2 linked regions of the Lonchura striata genome follow. The protein of the gene in region 1 interacts with the protein of each later gene in a biochemical or structural test. Links are inferred from orthologs where the notes say so. Each region holds a gene or a part of one and is shown in the gene's direction. Other genes may lie near its edges.

Region 1 (7,124 bases):
TCCATGGGAATTCTGTGAGAGGAGAAGGGTGTGAAAGAAAACTAAATTATTCTGGCCAAATCTGATAAGGTTTGGATCCTGAGCAGCCCCCGGCGTTGTCTTGTAGCAACCAAAGTCCAGGGGTCCCACTGTCCCCTGACTGTGCAGGGGAGCTGTTGCTGTGTTATGGGAGGTATTACACCGCTGTGGAATTATGCCAGAAAAAGCAGTTTTTATGGGAGAAGATAAGACTACAACTCCCAGGAGGCCCCGTGGTCCAGTCAGGCACTTGATACTGAAGTGCCTTTAAACAAAACTTCCTCCCCTGACTGTGCCCTCAGAGTTAGGAGGACAATGGTGGTCCTTGAAAGGAAGAGGAGGAAAAAAAAGTACTTGACAATGTGATTTCTACAAGCAACCCTGCCTTTTCCTTTTGGAATACTGGTCTTATGGGACAAAACAATAATAATTTAAATTTTTTTGTGCATGCCAGCTGGCTCACTTTGGGTTGTCTTGGGTTGCTCCATCCTTGGCAGTGTCACCAGTGGCTGCCTCAGTGTGGATCCACAGGGTTTTTCTGGAATGTCTGGTGCACACTCTCTGAAATGGCGACAGCGAAACGCATTTCCAGTCCCTAGTGAGGTGACACTCTGGGATACAGGGTAAAATATCCTTTTTGTCTTAAGGAGCTGCAGAGGCCCTGTGCTGTGGGGCACAAAAACCTTTGCTCTGTAGACAGGACATCTTCAGCAGAGGTTGGGGACAGGGTGCAGGAGCAGGAGGCACGGTGGTGTCCCAAGCTGGAGCCTGGCTTTACACACAGCCAAAGTAAACCATCATCCCACCAAGGATGATAGAGCTGATTCCTCCCTCTCCTGGGGCTCTGCAGGTTCCTTCCCAAATGTGACCCAACTACAGGAGAAACAATTATTTATTTTTTTCCCCTGGTTTCCCTCTGACCCCCACTGCTTTGCAGAGGCACCAACATGATCCACACTTGGTTTCAGGGAGCCCCTGCCTGGCTAAAGGGGAACTATAAGGAGGAAAAAGGCCCTTTCAATGCCTGCAGGCATGAAAGACACTCCAGGCTCACCCTGGCATTTGATTTTTTTTATTTTTCCATTTTTGATGTGTGGATTGCTGTGGACAGTATCAGGAGCATTGGGCAGGGGAATAGCCCATTTTTGGTGACACTGTGAATAACAGAGGGCTGGAGTTTGTACTGGTGTAGCTGGGCTAATTTAACAAAGGAAAAGCAAAGGGGTGGTAAAAATCTCTATGGGTAAAACCCTCTGTTTAGGTGTCACCTGTGTTCAACATGTCAGACAGATTCCTGATGTGGCTCTGCTGAGATCCTTCCTGCACTCCAACATCTTGGCAAAACTGCTTTTTGGCACAGAGGAAGGAGAGAGTATTTTTCAGGTTGTGAAAAAATGGTTTGAGAGGTTTGGAGAAGGTGACACTTCTTTGTGCTGTCACATGTTCACTCCAGCCTGCTCTTAGTCTGGCATTTATTTTTTCCCCTTTTTTTTCCCCACATAAAGCCTTTTCTTGTTTGGCATTTCTCTAGTGTCCTGCAGCTCTCTGGTCCTCCCCCTTCTCCCTGTGTTGTGATGTCAAGTGGTGACCGAGATTGAAGATAATGTCCTTATTTTCCAAGGTTTTTTTACTGCATTATCTTTCAGCTGGTGGATTTGGTTTGGTGTGCAGCAGCATAGGCTTTAGTTTGTCAAGAGCCCTTCTGCAGATGTCTTTACATGGCACTTTTGGCTACCTCATTGGGCATGGAAGTGAAAATTTTTAGAGAGAAGGAAAAAAAATTAAGTACAACTAAATAATAACAATAAAATAAAGATTGCTAATATTAGCACCTTGGTTTTACAGACTGCAGCAGCCTCAATCCCTGACTGTCACTCAGAGCACTCTTTGCACCAGAGTCTTACCTTAAATAAGAAAACTTCACACCCTTGTGATGACACTAAGCATCCTCTGAGGGATGTGTGGAAGTTCCTGAAGAATGAAAAGCAGCTGGGAGAGAACCAAAGAAACTCCCAACAGATAATACTGTGCCTCTCAGAGCTCAAGATTTTTTTGAGGGTATGTGCCAAGAATCCATTTCATGAATTGCCTCTGGGACAAAGAAGGTTCTGGGAAGTGTAGAAAGCCACTAATGGGACATGGGCACAGACAGTGGTGCTTCTGCTCTGCTGTGGTGCTGCAGAGGGGGAATTGTGCAAAGTAGAGGGTAAAATGCTCACCTACACTGCCTGCTGTCTTCTGCTACTGGTCTAGCCCTGTTCACTGCCAACATAAACCTATAGCAAGGAGATTAAATACACATTAGGTGAGTTAAGGTTTATGGATTTGGAAAGATTTGCCAGAAATCAGCTAGTTGCATAGGGGAAGAGCACTGAAATGAACTCTGGGCAGGAGAGAAGGGGTTTGTCTGCAGAGAAAATTGTGTTTCTCTGTGTCTGATATATCCCTGCTCTGCATCAACACACATGGAGAGCTGTGCAGAAATGGGAGGTGGCAGGGATCCTCTGCAGCCTGCTGTCCTCCTGTCCCAGGGAACTGGGGGATTTACAGAGGTGTGCCCAGGGAGGATGGCAGAGATTTGGCATCTTGGGCAGGAGGGAGCCCTGAGGGATGCTCCCCGTGTCGTATCTCCACTCATTCCCATTCCATATGTTTAGCATGAAACTTCTCTGCAGTGTGGGTAACGTGCCTGTCTGGAACAATGGCTCTGCCCACTCTTTGGGGTGGAAATGGCAGTGATATTGGGCAATTTTGAGTATTTCCCATTGCCTTGCAGTGTTCCACCCCAGCTTCCTCTCTTGCTTTGCTCTCTCCTGACACTGAGTGCCACAAATGTCTGTGCTGACTTTTTCTGTGCTCAGTGCAGCCAGCACTGCTGAGCCACCTTGGCTCACAGCTCTCCAATGCCGAACAGGGCAGTGTGTGAGCCCAGCCCCACGAGCTGAAGGAAGCCGTGTTGCAATGCTATTGGGAACCCACCTTAGATTTGTAAATTTGATTTGAGGTGTGACGTGTATCACGCTGGTTTTGTTAAGGTGTTGGTAACCAAGTCACAGTAAATCCAGTGTAAACGAGCTGAGCCAGTGTGTTACAGGTGTGCTCATAAACAAGGCAGGGGCTGCTCTGGTGGAGAATGTAATGCTTCAATATTGAACTGCCAGAGTAGGGGACAGAGGCTGCCTCTGAACCAGCATTCATCAAAGTTAGGTTATTTATCTTACCTACATTGGATGACTGTGGTTCAGTTTTCCATGATTTGAAGAAATAAAAATTAAAATCATTTAAGGAAGAAAAATATCCTAATAACCATGTTGAAGTCTTGCTGTAGATATAGAAGTGGAATCACTGAGTTCGCTGGAAGAAATCGCCAAGATCTCCCTGTACAGGCACAGCAGTGAGAGCTGCAGTGCTGCAGACAAATTTTGGGGCGTTTCACCAGCACTCAGGGCTGGGTTATAGCTGGAACCTGCTGGGGATTTTGCTTATCTGCATGTCAGTTCAATGCTTCTTCAAGCACAAACATTTTCTCTCTCGCTAAAAAAATCCAATCCTTGCATATTAAAAAGGGCATACGGGAAGTAACATGGTAAATGCAACATGTGTAGGGGAGGACAGCTAGGATCCAAACAGCACCGGACTGTAATTATTGGGTTGTCTTACGCTAAAAAAAAAGCATCGCATGTGCAATTAATAATTGTTAATTTGCACAGGCTTTTTCAATCTGTTTCCCTGGCCAAACGCAGTTTCCCGGTGACGGTGGAGAACCTTGGCTTCTCCCTCCTGGAGCGTCCGGGCACGGAGCGGAGAACCGCGCTCCCTGTGGGAGCGGCGCTCGGAGCGCGCAGGAGCCTCAGATCCCCTCCGCACGCCGCAAAGTTGGGCTGAAACAATCGAGTTACTCCTCTTCGGCTCACTCTGCGCCCCCCGCGTCCCCTCACGGCCAGCCGGGGCGGGCGGCTGCCCGTCCCTCCCCTGGGCCGTGTCCCGCTCCCGGGAGTGGCCGCGCTGCCCTCAGCGGAGGCGGGCGCGGGGCGGGCCCGGCGCCCGGCGGGCGGGGCCGCTGCAGGGCAGCTCTTCGGGCGGCTTCACCGGCTGCTGGTGCCCCGCGAGAGGGTACCCGGCTGGCTCTGAGGGCACCCGGCTGGCTCTGCGGGCACCCGGCTGGCTCTGAGGGCACCATGGGGCACCCGCGGCCGCGGGGGCCGGAGGTGGGTGCGGGCGGCCGCGGGGTGGCCGGAGCGGGCGCCCGGCCCGGGGCACTGCGGTGCCTTCGGCGTCTGTTTGCAAGTGAATGCCCTGCCCGGGCTCTTTGCTAGGGCAGGCTTTGCTGCGGAGCGGTGTTTGTCGCCTGTCGGACACACTCGGGGTGGTTCGCGCGTTTGTCGTGCTGTGAAAAGGGTGGGTTTGGGTCGGTGCGGTCCTGGCTTGGGGGCTCGGCGATGCGCTGAACTTCAGCGTCCCCGGCGCTGCTGAATGTGACCCTGCCACGTCCCTTCCGCACCCGCCGTTCTTGGGTTATGAGAAAAGCCCGAGTTACCGAACGTGCTGGCAAAACCCCTTCTGCCGAGCTGCTGGGTGGCTTTCTCGCAATGAAAGCCTTTCCTGCCTGTTGCTGGTTTTCTTTATTTGGCGTGATGCTCTCTAGAAATCTCAGCCCCGAGGTGCCTGCGGTCTGAGCTGGACCGTGGTTCAAGTTAGTGCAGCTCCACTGGCTTTGGAAGCGTTCCCCGGGCTGACCAGGGGCTCTCTGCACACAGAAGGACAGTGCCTCCCCGCATCCCTCCTTTCAGTAAATCTGCACGATGCCTCCAGTGAGGCTGGCTGGGGACAGGCACCAGCAGTTGCACTGGTTGGATGAAGCTCTGCTGATTTGGCACTGGTGGAAGATGGTAAGTGTGGATGTCACGGCGAGGCTGGTGTGCCCATAGCTGCTGGGACAAAAGCGTCCCTGTTTGCGTACGGCGTTGTGTTTCGAGCTGCCTGTGTTTGCAGCTCGAAGGGTGGGAGCTCTCTTTCGAGTGTCTTTAATCACTCAGGAATTATTGTTTTCCCTCCCGTGCTGTCTCTACCATTTGATAAGCGTGAGCTCATGCCAGAGGCTCGCAGGTAACCAGGGAACTTCATTTCCAACCACCTCATGATGCTCACAGGAGTGTTAGCCCTGTGACTTGTGTCCCATGGCCACATCCAGCCCAGCTTAGCCAGAAATTGGAACGCTCTGAGTTTGAGTCTGTGGGCTCCCCTTCCTTTGCTGCTTGAGAGCCCTTTTCTCAGGGTCACTGTTACCCTCTGATGCTGAGCACACCCCAGCGATTCTGGGATCCCTGATCCAGGCTCAGGGGTTTGCTGCAGAGTTCCCCCCAACAGTCCCCTCTGTGTACCTGCCCTGACCTTGCCTGTGGCTGAAGGAGGCCCTTCCTCCTGTCCTTCTGCCATCAGGTAGCACTAAGCCTGTAAAATCAGTTTTTTTGCAGTGGGGAAGTGTGTCTGGCCTCTCCCAGGCCTGGGGGTGCAGTATGTGGGTGACATCTCACAGTGTCCCCATCACCCGTCTTGGTGCCAGGTTTGCTGGCTGGGATACTGAGCCCTGGATCTACCCTCCCCTCTGGAGAGGAGGCGAGCCCCAGGCTTGGTCAGAGCTCCTTGTGGGACGGGGCCAAGGTCAGATCCCTTTGAAAGACCTGTTAAAATTTACAGAGATTGGTGTAGACTCTGCTTCAGCTGATTGAATGAAAGTTTGAGAGGTAGTGTGATTGAATTTGGTTTTGCCAAGATTTAACTTTCCTAACTTGAGAAGATTGAAGGGGTTCACTTACGTACTCATTTGCGTTTTAGTTTTGTCTTGATACATATAACATCATCCTTTTCAGGATTATTGAAAATTAGTGTTGAGGCTCTGATCTTCGTGGAAAACACTTAATAAATTCACTTTTCCTGGAGGCCATGATGCTCTTCTTATTTTGAGAGGCTTGAACTCCTACCACAGAAAATGCTATTGTTGACAGGTGTCTCCTGAGCTCTTGCAGCTGAGAAAGAGTGTGCTGGTATCAGAATTGCACATTCTTTGAACTGCTGAAGATGCTGTTTCACGTGTGTGAATGAAATTATAAGTACTAGGTAGGTGATCATTGCTGGTGAAATTACTCTTTCATAAAGTAGTCTGCAATCTTGTGTTTCTCCTAAAATTTTTATTACTCTAAATAGTAACAAAGTGTAAAAGGTGGTGTCATTTTGACATTGTTATTCCTGTAAATTAGGAAGTGCTCTTTTGTGGTGGAGGAAAGGTGTTCTAAAGGAGTGGGTTTTATCTCCAGCAGTGATTTGAGAAATCTCTTACATGATTAAGTGAAATTTCAGCCAGCTGAACTTGGGTTTTACAGTTATTTCTTCTCTGAAAATTGATTTAAAGCAGGTTATCAAACCTTCAGGGAAAGAAATTTCAGGGGAATGCACTTAAATGCTGGCATTACCACAAGTGTTATTCCTTGAAATGGCATAAGAAGGAAGATATCAGTTACTGATATAAGATAGAAGCTTCTAGTTTATCTTCTCTCTGTTTGTGCCCTGTGAATACATCAAAGGGGAAATTGCTGGAGTCTTGCAGGAAGCCATCGTGGTCCATGAGGAGCAGCACCTTTCTGATGCCTTTGCTGCAACCAGGTGGTTCCTTAATTTCATGTTGGAACAGTTATTTTGCAGTAAGTAATTTAAAATAATAATAAAGCTTTAGTGAGAATCAGAATTGGCTAGTGGCCCTAAATTTGTTTATAACAGAGCAGAAAAAGCAATTTGATTTTCTTCTGGAGTGTCTGATGTCAGCACCTGGTGTTGGCTAAGGGTGAGGAAGGAGGAGGGTGAGAGCAACCCTTTACATGCCTTTTCCTTCTATTGTCTGACTGGCAGTTATTTGATGATGTGTTTTTAACTTGCTCTCACATGTCCTGTACCCTGGGAAGCTCCTGCAGGGACTGAGATTTGGTCCATGATCATTTGCCTGAGAGGAGTTGTGGCTCTGTCTTTTTTTATTTCCCTTCACAAACCCTTGGCCAGCCTTTATTTGGATTTTTTTTTTTTTCCAAAATAAGGTCTTTTTCAGTCCATATTTA
Region 2 (8,222 bases), on another chromosome or scaffold:
GTTAATAATTAGGCAAGTGATTGTTTAGCATGTTCTTCACTCATTGTTACTTCTGGTACAAACTGAAGGTGGGTAAAAGCTTCAAGCTCTTTCATTTTAATGGGGAGGTTGATTCTGCTCAGAATACATGTGGATTTGGGCTGGGTGATTTCTTTTCAACTGGCCTGCTACTGAGAAACTCCATTAATTCACAAATACATTTTATCCATCCTTACACACTGGTAATAAAGTGTTGTCTAATAAATTTTAATACAGTTCTGCCATCAGCGTAAAAGAGAAGAAATTAACCATAAATACCAGGAAACCTTACCTCCATGTATTGATTTCAGTTCAGCAGTACTTCATAACACAAAGGCTCACACACCCACAAACCCAGCAGATGCCACAGTAATCAATTCTGGGCAGAAAGGGCTGAAATAGGAGGGTGCCCTCAAGAACCAGTAGGTGGTTTTGTTCATTTACTCTTTTGTCCCTTCAAAAAATTAAGTCTCTCTCACCCTGGAAGATTTATTGAGCACTTGAAGGAAGAATGGATGTTTTATGCATGATAAGATGGTTTTCCAAAGAATGTGGTTCATTTATTCATGTCAACAGAAATCTAAGATAAAATTACAGTGCTAAATTATGCATACTTTAAATATAAATTGTGTGCTACTAAATGTGCACTAAAGGGAACAAGTACTTTTTGCGCTGTGGGAATGGAAGTTGCACATCAATGTTTTTCCCTAAGTTTCAGACATGTTTTGTCTGACATGTCCACTGTAGCTTTGGCTTTTTAAAATAAATGAAATATTTGTCAGTTGATTTCTTAGTTGTATTAAGGTACATAATGCAAGTACTACTAGGACACAATTAATTACATCTCTACCTAATTATTCTTCACATTTTTTTCCTTTCAAGAATTTTATGTGCAGAGCTGTAATGGCACAGATGCTAATACATAACAAAGGACATTCATTACCTACACCCTTCCTAGCCACATTGCAAATATCTACTACACTACCTGTATGGTTTCATTCATTACCTGCACGCTTTATAGCCACATTGCAAATGTCTACTAAACTACCTGTATGGTAAAACCTGTATGGTTTTAGGTACCTATTGTAGCATTTGAACACCAGAGAGTAATTTAAACCTCTTGTTGCCTTGGGCTGTGGACCCTAGGTTCCTGTACAGACAAAGAAATAGTTGCAATACCTACTTTCCTCTGACCAGTTGCTCTCTTACACAGAGGAGCCAGAGTCATGCCATAAAATATACCAGGTGCTCCAGAGATGCTCTTGCTACAGTCACTTGTTAGAAATTGAATAGGAATTATTAATGTAGTGCATTTTCATGGAAATACGTCTTTTAGTTTTGGGTTAAAGAGCTCATTTTTTTTCCACTTGGTTTGGGTAAGATGCCAGGGGACAGATCCAAGCAAAAAATGAAAGGTATACTATAAACTGTTTTTTATTGCATTACAACATGCACTTTGGGCCACAAAACAGAAATTCAAAATAAGGTTGTATTTTTTTTTTTTTTAAGATAGCTCTAAAGAGAGATTAAAAGGACAAAGACCACATTCATTAACAAGCAGCATGGTGCAAAATGGGGATGAAATCTCTCCCACTGTAAAATGAAGAGCAGGTTCAAGACCACCTGATTAAACTGAATAGCCACAAGTCTATTAGGGCCTGATGAGATGCATCCCAGGGTCCTGAGGGAACTGATGTTGTTGCCAACCCATATGTGGAAAACCCTGGCAGTCAGGTGAAGTGCTCAGTGACTGGAAAAAGAGAAACATCGTTCCTATTTTTAAAAAGGGAAGAAAGGAAGACCCAGGGAAGGACATACCAGAGACCTCCCCCTTCTTGGGAAGACTGTGGAGCAGACACTCATGGAACAATGTTAAGCACATACAATACAAGGAGATGATCCAAGACAGCCAATATGGCAAATCATGCCTGACCCATCTGGTGGCCTTCCACAATGGAGTGACAGCAACAATTAACAAGCAAAGACTGACAGATGTCAACTACCTAGACTTCTGTAAGCTGGTCCCACATGACATCCTTATCTCCAAAATGATGACACAGATTTGATGGATGGAATATTCAGTGGATAAGGAATTGGCTGGGTGGATGCAGCCAGAGTTGTGGTAAGTACTTTTATGTCCAGGTGGACACTGGTGATGAGCTGTGTCCCTCAGGGGCCTGTCATGGTACCAGGGCTCTTTAATACCTTCCTTTATCAATGACACTGTCAGTGGGATTGAGTGCACCCCAGCAAGATTCCAGACCTGTGAAGCTGAGTGGTGCAGTTGGTTCAACAGAAAGAAGAGACCATATTCAGGTGGGCAAGCTTGAGAAGTGAGCCCATGGGAACCTCAAGTTCAACAAATCCAGGTGCAAAGTGCTGCACCTGGGTCAGGGCAATACCAGACGTGAGTTCAGACTGGGAGAAGAACTTGTTGAGACCAACTGAGCTGAGAAGGACTTAAGAGGGTTCACTTGCAGCCCAGAAGGCAAATGGTATCCTGGCTTGTATCAAAAGAGGGGTGGCTAAGGTACGTGATTGTCCCCTTCTACTCTGCCCTTATGGGACCCGAAGTAGAGTGCTGTGTCCAGGTATGGAGTCCTTAGCATAAGAAAGATGTGGACTTGCTATAGAGAGTCCAGAAGAGGCCACAAAAATGGTCAGAGGACTGAACCATCTCTCCTACAAAGGCTGAGAGAGCTCAGGTTGCTCAGCCTGGAGAAGAGAAGGTTCTGGCAAGAGCTCATTGAGGCCTTCCAGTACCTAAAGGGTAAAAAGAGCAATGTCTTACATGGGCATATTAGTGATAGGACAAGGGGGAAATGGTTATAAACTAAAAAATTAGATTTAGATTAGATCTTAGGAAGAAATTCTTTATTTTGAGAGTGGTGAGGCACTGGAATAGGTTGCCCAGAGATACTGCAGACACCCCATCCCTGAAAGTGTTAAAGGCCAGCCTAGATGGGGCACTGAGCAACATGGTCTAGTGGATGTCATCTTGCCCTTGACAGGGGATTTGATATTAGATGATCTTTAGGGTCTCTTCCAACCCAAACCATTTTATGCAAAGGGACATTTTCAGAGAGTGAAACAGCTGCTACCAACATCTGGGTAAGTACACTGTGTGTCTTACAGGACAAAGGTTATTTTGGACTAGCTCTAGTATTGCAGGAATAAGGAAGTACTGAACGGCTGCAGACATCAGTATTAATGAGACCTTAACTAAGACTAACCCACTCTTTTGCAACAGAAGTGTTCTGGAATAAGTATTAAAAAGTTATACAGCACAGAGATACTCAAAAGGCTGCAGAAGTTGGGCCAGGATTTCTTGAGGACTCCTGAATCATTATTTGTACAGGATCATGCAGAGACTCTTTCAGTCTTTTCATGGTCTCATGAAAAGTCTTATGACATATACTATGAAAATTTTCCCTTTCATGAAATATCAAAAATGTTTTATTTTCAATGTTTGGTTGACTCAGTGTTACTAGCTTTCCTTTCTTCTCCTCCTTTTTTTCCCTGCCCTCTCCATTTAAGAGAATCCAACCTTTCTCTGTGTAAATGGATGTATTTAGATATTTTAATCAGAATTAATTGCATCTGGATTGCTATCAGTTTATCAAACTCTCAGGAATTTGCAAAAATTAGCTCATAATGAAATGTGAGGCCAACAAAACGAAATTCCAGAGGAATATGGACTGAACACTGGCTAAATTATGTCAAAATGTCAAGTTGTCAAAAATTTCAGAAACCATCACAGAGAACAATGAAAATTTTAACGTGCACCTGCTTTGCAAGCAAAGCGCACGTTCCATGAGGTGAATACCAAGGTCAAAGTTTTCATCTGAGGTGATAAAATCTGGAATTTCCAGACTTGGAAACTACCTTCAGCCAAACACTTATGTGGGTGAGCGGATGCTTCAAAACAATTAGTATTGTCTGTGCGTGGTTATAGTGTGAAAACCAAAGACACACACTGAGCAGTCAGTTTTGTTATATGCATATTATGCTTAGCTTTCATTACATCACTTACATCATGAGTTTAAATCATGTTGTGTTTGGGCAAAGCTCCTCTGTGTGTCCACAATTTAGGAGTAAAAGATACAGTTATTAAGGCACTCTTGCTGTTATTATTTGAATGATTGTAATTAACATGGAAAAGATCTTATCTCCCCATTCTTTTTGGCATCTGTAAAATCCTCCATACATGGAGTGGTCCATTACTATAAAAAAGAAATTAAAAAAAAAAAAAGCAAAACTCTCTTAAGAGCCTCACCGCTTCATGTTCCCTTCTGCCAGTGATCATTTTCCTTAAACTCAGTATATTAAATGTTGTCCCAGCTTACACTTCTGTCCTGAGGAATGCTCCACTAAAAATAATTGTGTTTATAAACCTAGCGACAGATGTCGGGAATTTATCTCCTTACCATGGCAGGACACGCCTCCTCTATTCTCCAGATGAGGGATTAGCTGGGAAGAAGGAGGGACAGACATCGAGCTACAATGCTTTCTCACTATCTATCTCCCTTAAGTTTCGGCTGAAACAAAGGAGGAGGTGCAGGAAGGAAAGCAGCTGCCGTTTGAGGCTCGGAGTTACGGCGCCGTGGGAGAAGCGGGACACGACTCCCCGGCGGAACGACGCGCCCCGGGAAGGCGCCGGCCGCGTCCCGCCCGTTACCCGCCCCCGCCGCGCCCCGCCGGGCCCGGCCCCGCTCGCGCCGCGGACGGAAGCGGCCGCCCCCTTCCGGGAACCGGGTCCGGCCGCGCCGCCCCGCTCCTCCTTGGCCCGCCCCGCGCCTGCGCGCCTCGGCGCCTGACACGGCGCTCCGCCCGCGGGGCGGGGGCGGCGGGGCCGCACCCGGTGACGACGCTGCGGCCCCTGCGGCGGCGCTCCCCGCCCCGCCCCGCCCCGGCCGCGCCCGCCCTCCGCCCCGGGCCGCGCGCGCCGCCGGCCGTGCGCGCGGGGGCGGCGCCAGGGCCTCACCTCGCGCGCTCCGCCCCTCCCCGCGCGCTCCTCGGGCGCCGCCGGCACCGCCGCCGCAGGTGAGACGGGGGCGCGCGGCCGGGCCGGGCCGCGCCGGGCGGAGCCGCCAGGGCTGGGGCCGGGGGGAGCCCGAGGACCCGGCTCCGCCCGCGCCTCGGGAGCTCTCCGGTGTGGGGGAAGCTGCCGTGCGGCGCGGGCGGGGGCTTCCGGCGGCTCCGCGCCCGCCGCTCTGCGCCGCCCGGGAATCGGTGTCGGGGTGCGGCCGCCGCCTCGCCGTCCCTGGCCGGCGGGGTACGCCTGCCGGCCCCACCCCGGCGTGTGGGGACGGGCGGGCGGCGCCCCGAGCCTCCTGCCGGGGGCCTGGTGACCGCTCCCTGAAGGTTACGGGCGGCGACCTTGGCCACCTGCGTTCGCGGCCCGCCCGGGCGCGGGAACAGCGGGCAGGGGGCGGCGGGGCCGCGCCGGGCTCCGGCCGCCTGTTGCGGCGGGGCCGGGGGCGGCGTCCCGGGGCCGCGGGCGGCGGCGGGCGCCGCCCGTACCTGCGCAGGGTGGGGCGCGGCGCGGCGGCGCCCCGAACAAAGGGCCGCGCCCGGGGCCGCGGGGAAGGGGGTCGGGGTGCTCGCCCACCGGCCCGGCGGGACCGAGCGGCTGCTGCGGCGGCGATTCCTGCTCCGGCCGGGTGCCGGAGACCCTGCGCGTGTATGTGGGCGCTGCGGTTCTAGGGTGAGTAAGAACAGGGCTCCTGTAGCATTTAATAGCTGCCCACTTTCATGTGCTGGGCTTTTCTGTAGTTACTGGTAATAACTAGATCTTGTGTTTGCTTGTAACACAAGGGAGAAGTGCGAAGTATACTTTTAAGTTCCCCAAATGAAAGAGCCTTTCGATGCTCACGTATTTGGTTAGGTAAGAGATTTGGTGTTTGCTTTTAGGTTTCTTTTAAGGGGAAGTCAATAGCTTCAGCTCCTTCTTAATTGAGTCTTTAAAATGAAAATGTTAAGTGGGCCATACGTATCCCAAGAGCCACCTGAGGAGCGATCTGTGTGTTTGTTTTGCAGCATCCCCAAACCGTCGTGGCAGAAAGCTTGTCAAAATGGTTTTTTTTTTCAGACTCAAAAGGACCCTGATGTTTTGTTTTGTGCTTTCATTTCCAGCTCTTATTTGAAAGAGACTTGCATTCTGCACTGCAAAACATTATACGTCCGGAAGTGTAAGCAGTATGTGCCTCTGCTGGCATTTCAGTTCACATACAGTTTTATGTTCAGATCTCTCCATAACCTATCGGTTGTTCTTTGTCCTTTCCACTGAAAGTTAAACTGAAAAGAAAGGCAAGCCTGAGAGAGGGGCTGCACTAGGAGAAGATCCTGCTCTTCTGTTAGTTTTCAGGGTAATCAGTAGTGATTATAACTGGATTTTTAATTTTAAATCCACTTCTTTTTGGCTGACTTGTTAATCTAATAGCATGTACCTCAACATTTAAGTCCTGGGAAACTGTGAGCATTCTTAATAGAGTGAAGAACAACTGTTTGATATGTCGATCTCTGGTGTAAATATAAATCCTTCAGTCTGTGTTTGCATTACAGTTTGTCAAACATTTTTTGTGGCAGCCTCCAAATGGTGGAAATTTGAGAAGTCCTGTTTACTCTTTATTCTTTTCTGTAGAAATAGGAGAACGTGACATAATGTTGCACAAAAATATCAAAAAAAGCTTTCAGTCCACTGCATGAGGGGTTAACTATGAGGTTAAATAAGCTGTGTTGCTGGATAGTGAGTGTACTACTCAACTATTGCAAATTCCTTGATCTTGGTCTTTGCTTTTTAGTGCTCTTTTGAATTTGAGTAAGGGAAAGATTACAAACATCCTAAGGTGAAGTATTTTGAGTTGTGTGTTCTTTGACATTGTTGTGATAATGCTGTGGGGTTTTTTTTGGTTTTTTTTTTTTTTTTTTGTCCTTAACGAATCTTTAGCCATGAAACTGAAAACTGGAATGTTCCCTAGCTGTGCATTCTTTGTAATGTCTGTCACCTGTGGTCACGTACTCTTTAGATAAATAGCCCATAGAAACAGTAGGCTATTGAGGGGAAAGGGATGGGCGTGGGGAGGTGGGGTAAGGAGAGTTGTGGCTGTGAGGATAAGGCAGTGCTGGATAAAGGTGACCAAGGAAGAGCACAAGACTGTTAAATAAGTGTGGCTGGAGATCTTGCAGTGGTCCATGTGTCTTCTGTGTTCAGACTGACTTCTAGTTCTCATAAAAACAGTTGTGTTCTTAACCTCAGTTACTAAGGCATGCACTGACATCCCTGTTTCTACTTTTTCTGAGGGATTACCCCGAAACAAAGATGTTCCATCTAAGAAGTGGTTTTGCTCCTGTTAACTTTCAAGTGTATCTGACTTGGATGAAGATAATTGCCAAGGCAAAAAAATGCAGATAACTTAGAAACTGATATATGGCAGTCTCTGATACCAAAGGATACTGTAGGTACAGTGTCTTGTGTGAAAAGTTGTTTAGGCACTGCATTTCAGCCAACTGAAAACAGCATTATTTTTGCTGCAGTTTTATATATGAAGAAGAAATAATTATATGAGAAAAATCTTTTAACTTTGTGATAAGATTTGGTTGCTTTGCCATCCTAGGGAGTACTGTAGGATATAGAAGTCCTGGGAATCAGTGGTTGATAACATGTCTTCTAGATAGGGAACTCCCCACCCCCTTGAAAGTGCTTATAGCCAGCTTCCAGTAAACTTCTAATGGCTCCAAGCTACAGAAATTACTTTGCATCTAAATTGAAATCTGTTTTATGTGAACAAGGTAGTTTAGTAGGCTAGTGACAGCATTCTTGTGAACATACTGTAGCCTGCCTGCCTCAAACGCACAATTACAGGACAACTGTGTTAAGCCTCCTTTCTACCTTAGGAAGAATTTATGTGAGGAACCAAGTAAATAGAGCAGTTGGTATTATGTTTGTCCACTAAATGTTCTGCAAAATATTTATATTGCTAAGTAGGGAAGCAATTGTTACATTTTATTAGTCTGTTGCAGTACTTAAAATCAGCTCTCAGGATAGTTTATAAAAAGTTATTTTTAAGGAGTACTGTCTGCAGAACCTGAAATTGGTTATAGTCATTGTGGGTATAAATAACTTAGAATCACTTTATAGCAAATGTACCTTGCAGACCAGGGGATTATTAAATCCTGTTTTGCTACTCGTCCTGTTTTCATAA

Evidence for each region.
Region 2: the proteins of PLD1 (region 1) and RALA form a complex in vitro, tested with the Homo sapiens proteins (2 studies listed by BioGRID). The link is inferred for Lonchura striata from reciprocal best matches to the Homo sapiens genes PLD1 and RALA.

Annotation. Positions count from the first base shown.
Region 1 is NC_134612.1:22,659,464-22,666,587, forward strand, and holds the start of PLD1 (phospholipase D1), read left to right. Parts: upstream 1-4,058; 5' UTR 4,059-4,226; intron 4,227-7,124. UniProt on the Homo sapiens protein: Function as phospholipase selective for phosphatidylcholine. Implicated as a critical step in numerous cellular pathways, including signal transduction, membrane trafficking, and the regulation of mitosis.
Region 2 is NC_134603.1:103,340,930-103,349,151, forward strand, and holds the start of RALA (ras-related protein Ral-A), read left to right. Parts: upstream 1-4,966; 5' UTR 4,967-5,061; intron 5,062-5,600; exon of another isoform or gene 5,601-5,725; intron 5,726-6,153; exon of another isoform or gene 6,154-6,209; intron 6,210-8,222. UniProt on the Homo sapiens protein: Multifunctional GTPase involved in a variety of cellular processes including gene expression, cell migration, cell proliferation, oncogenic transformation and membrane trafficking.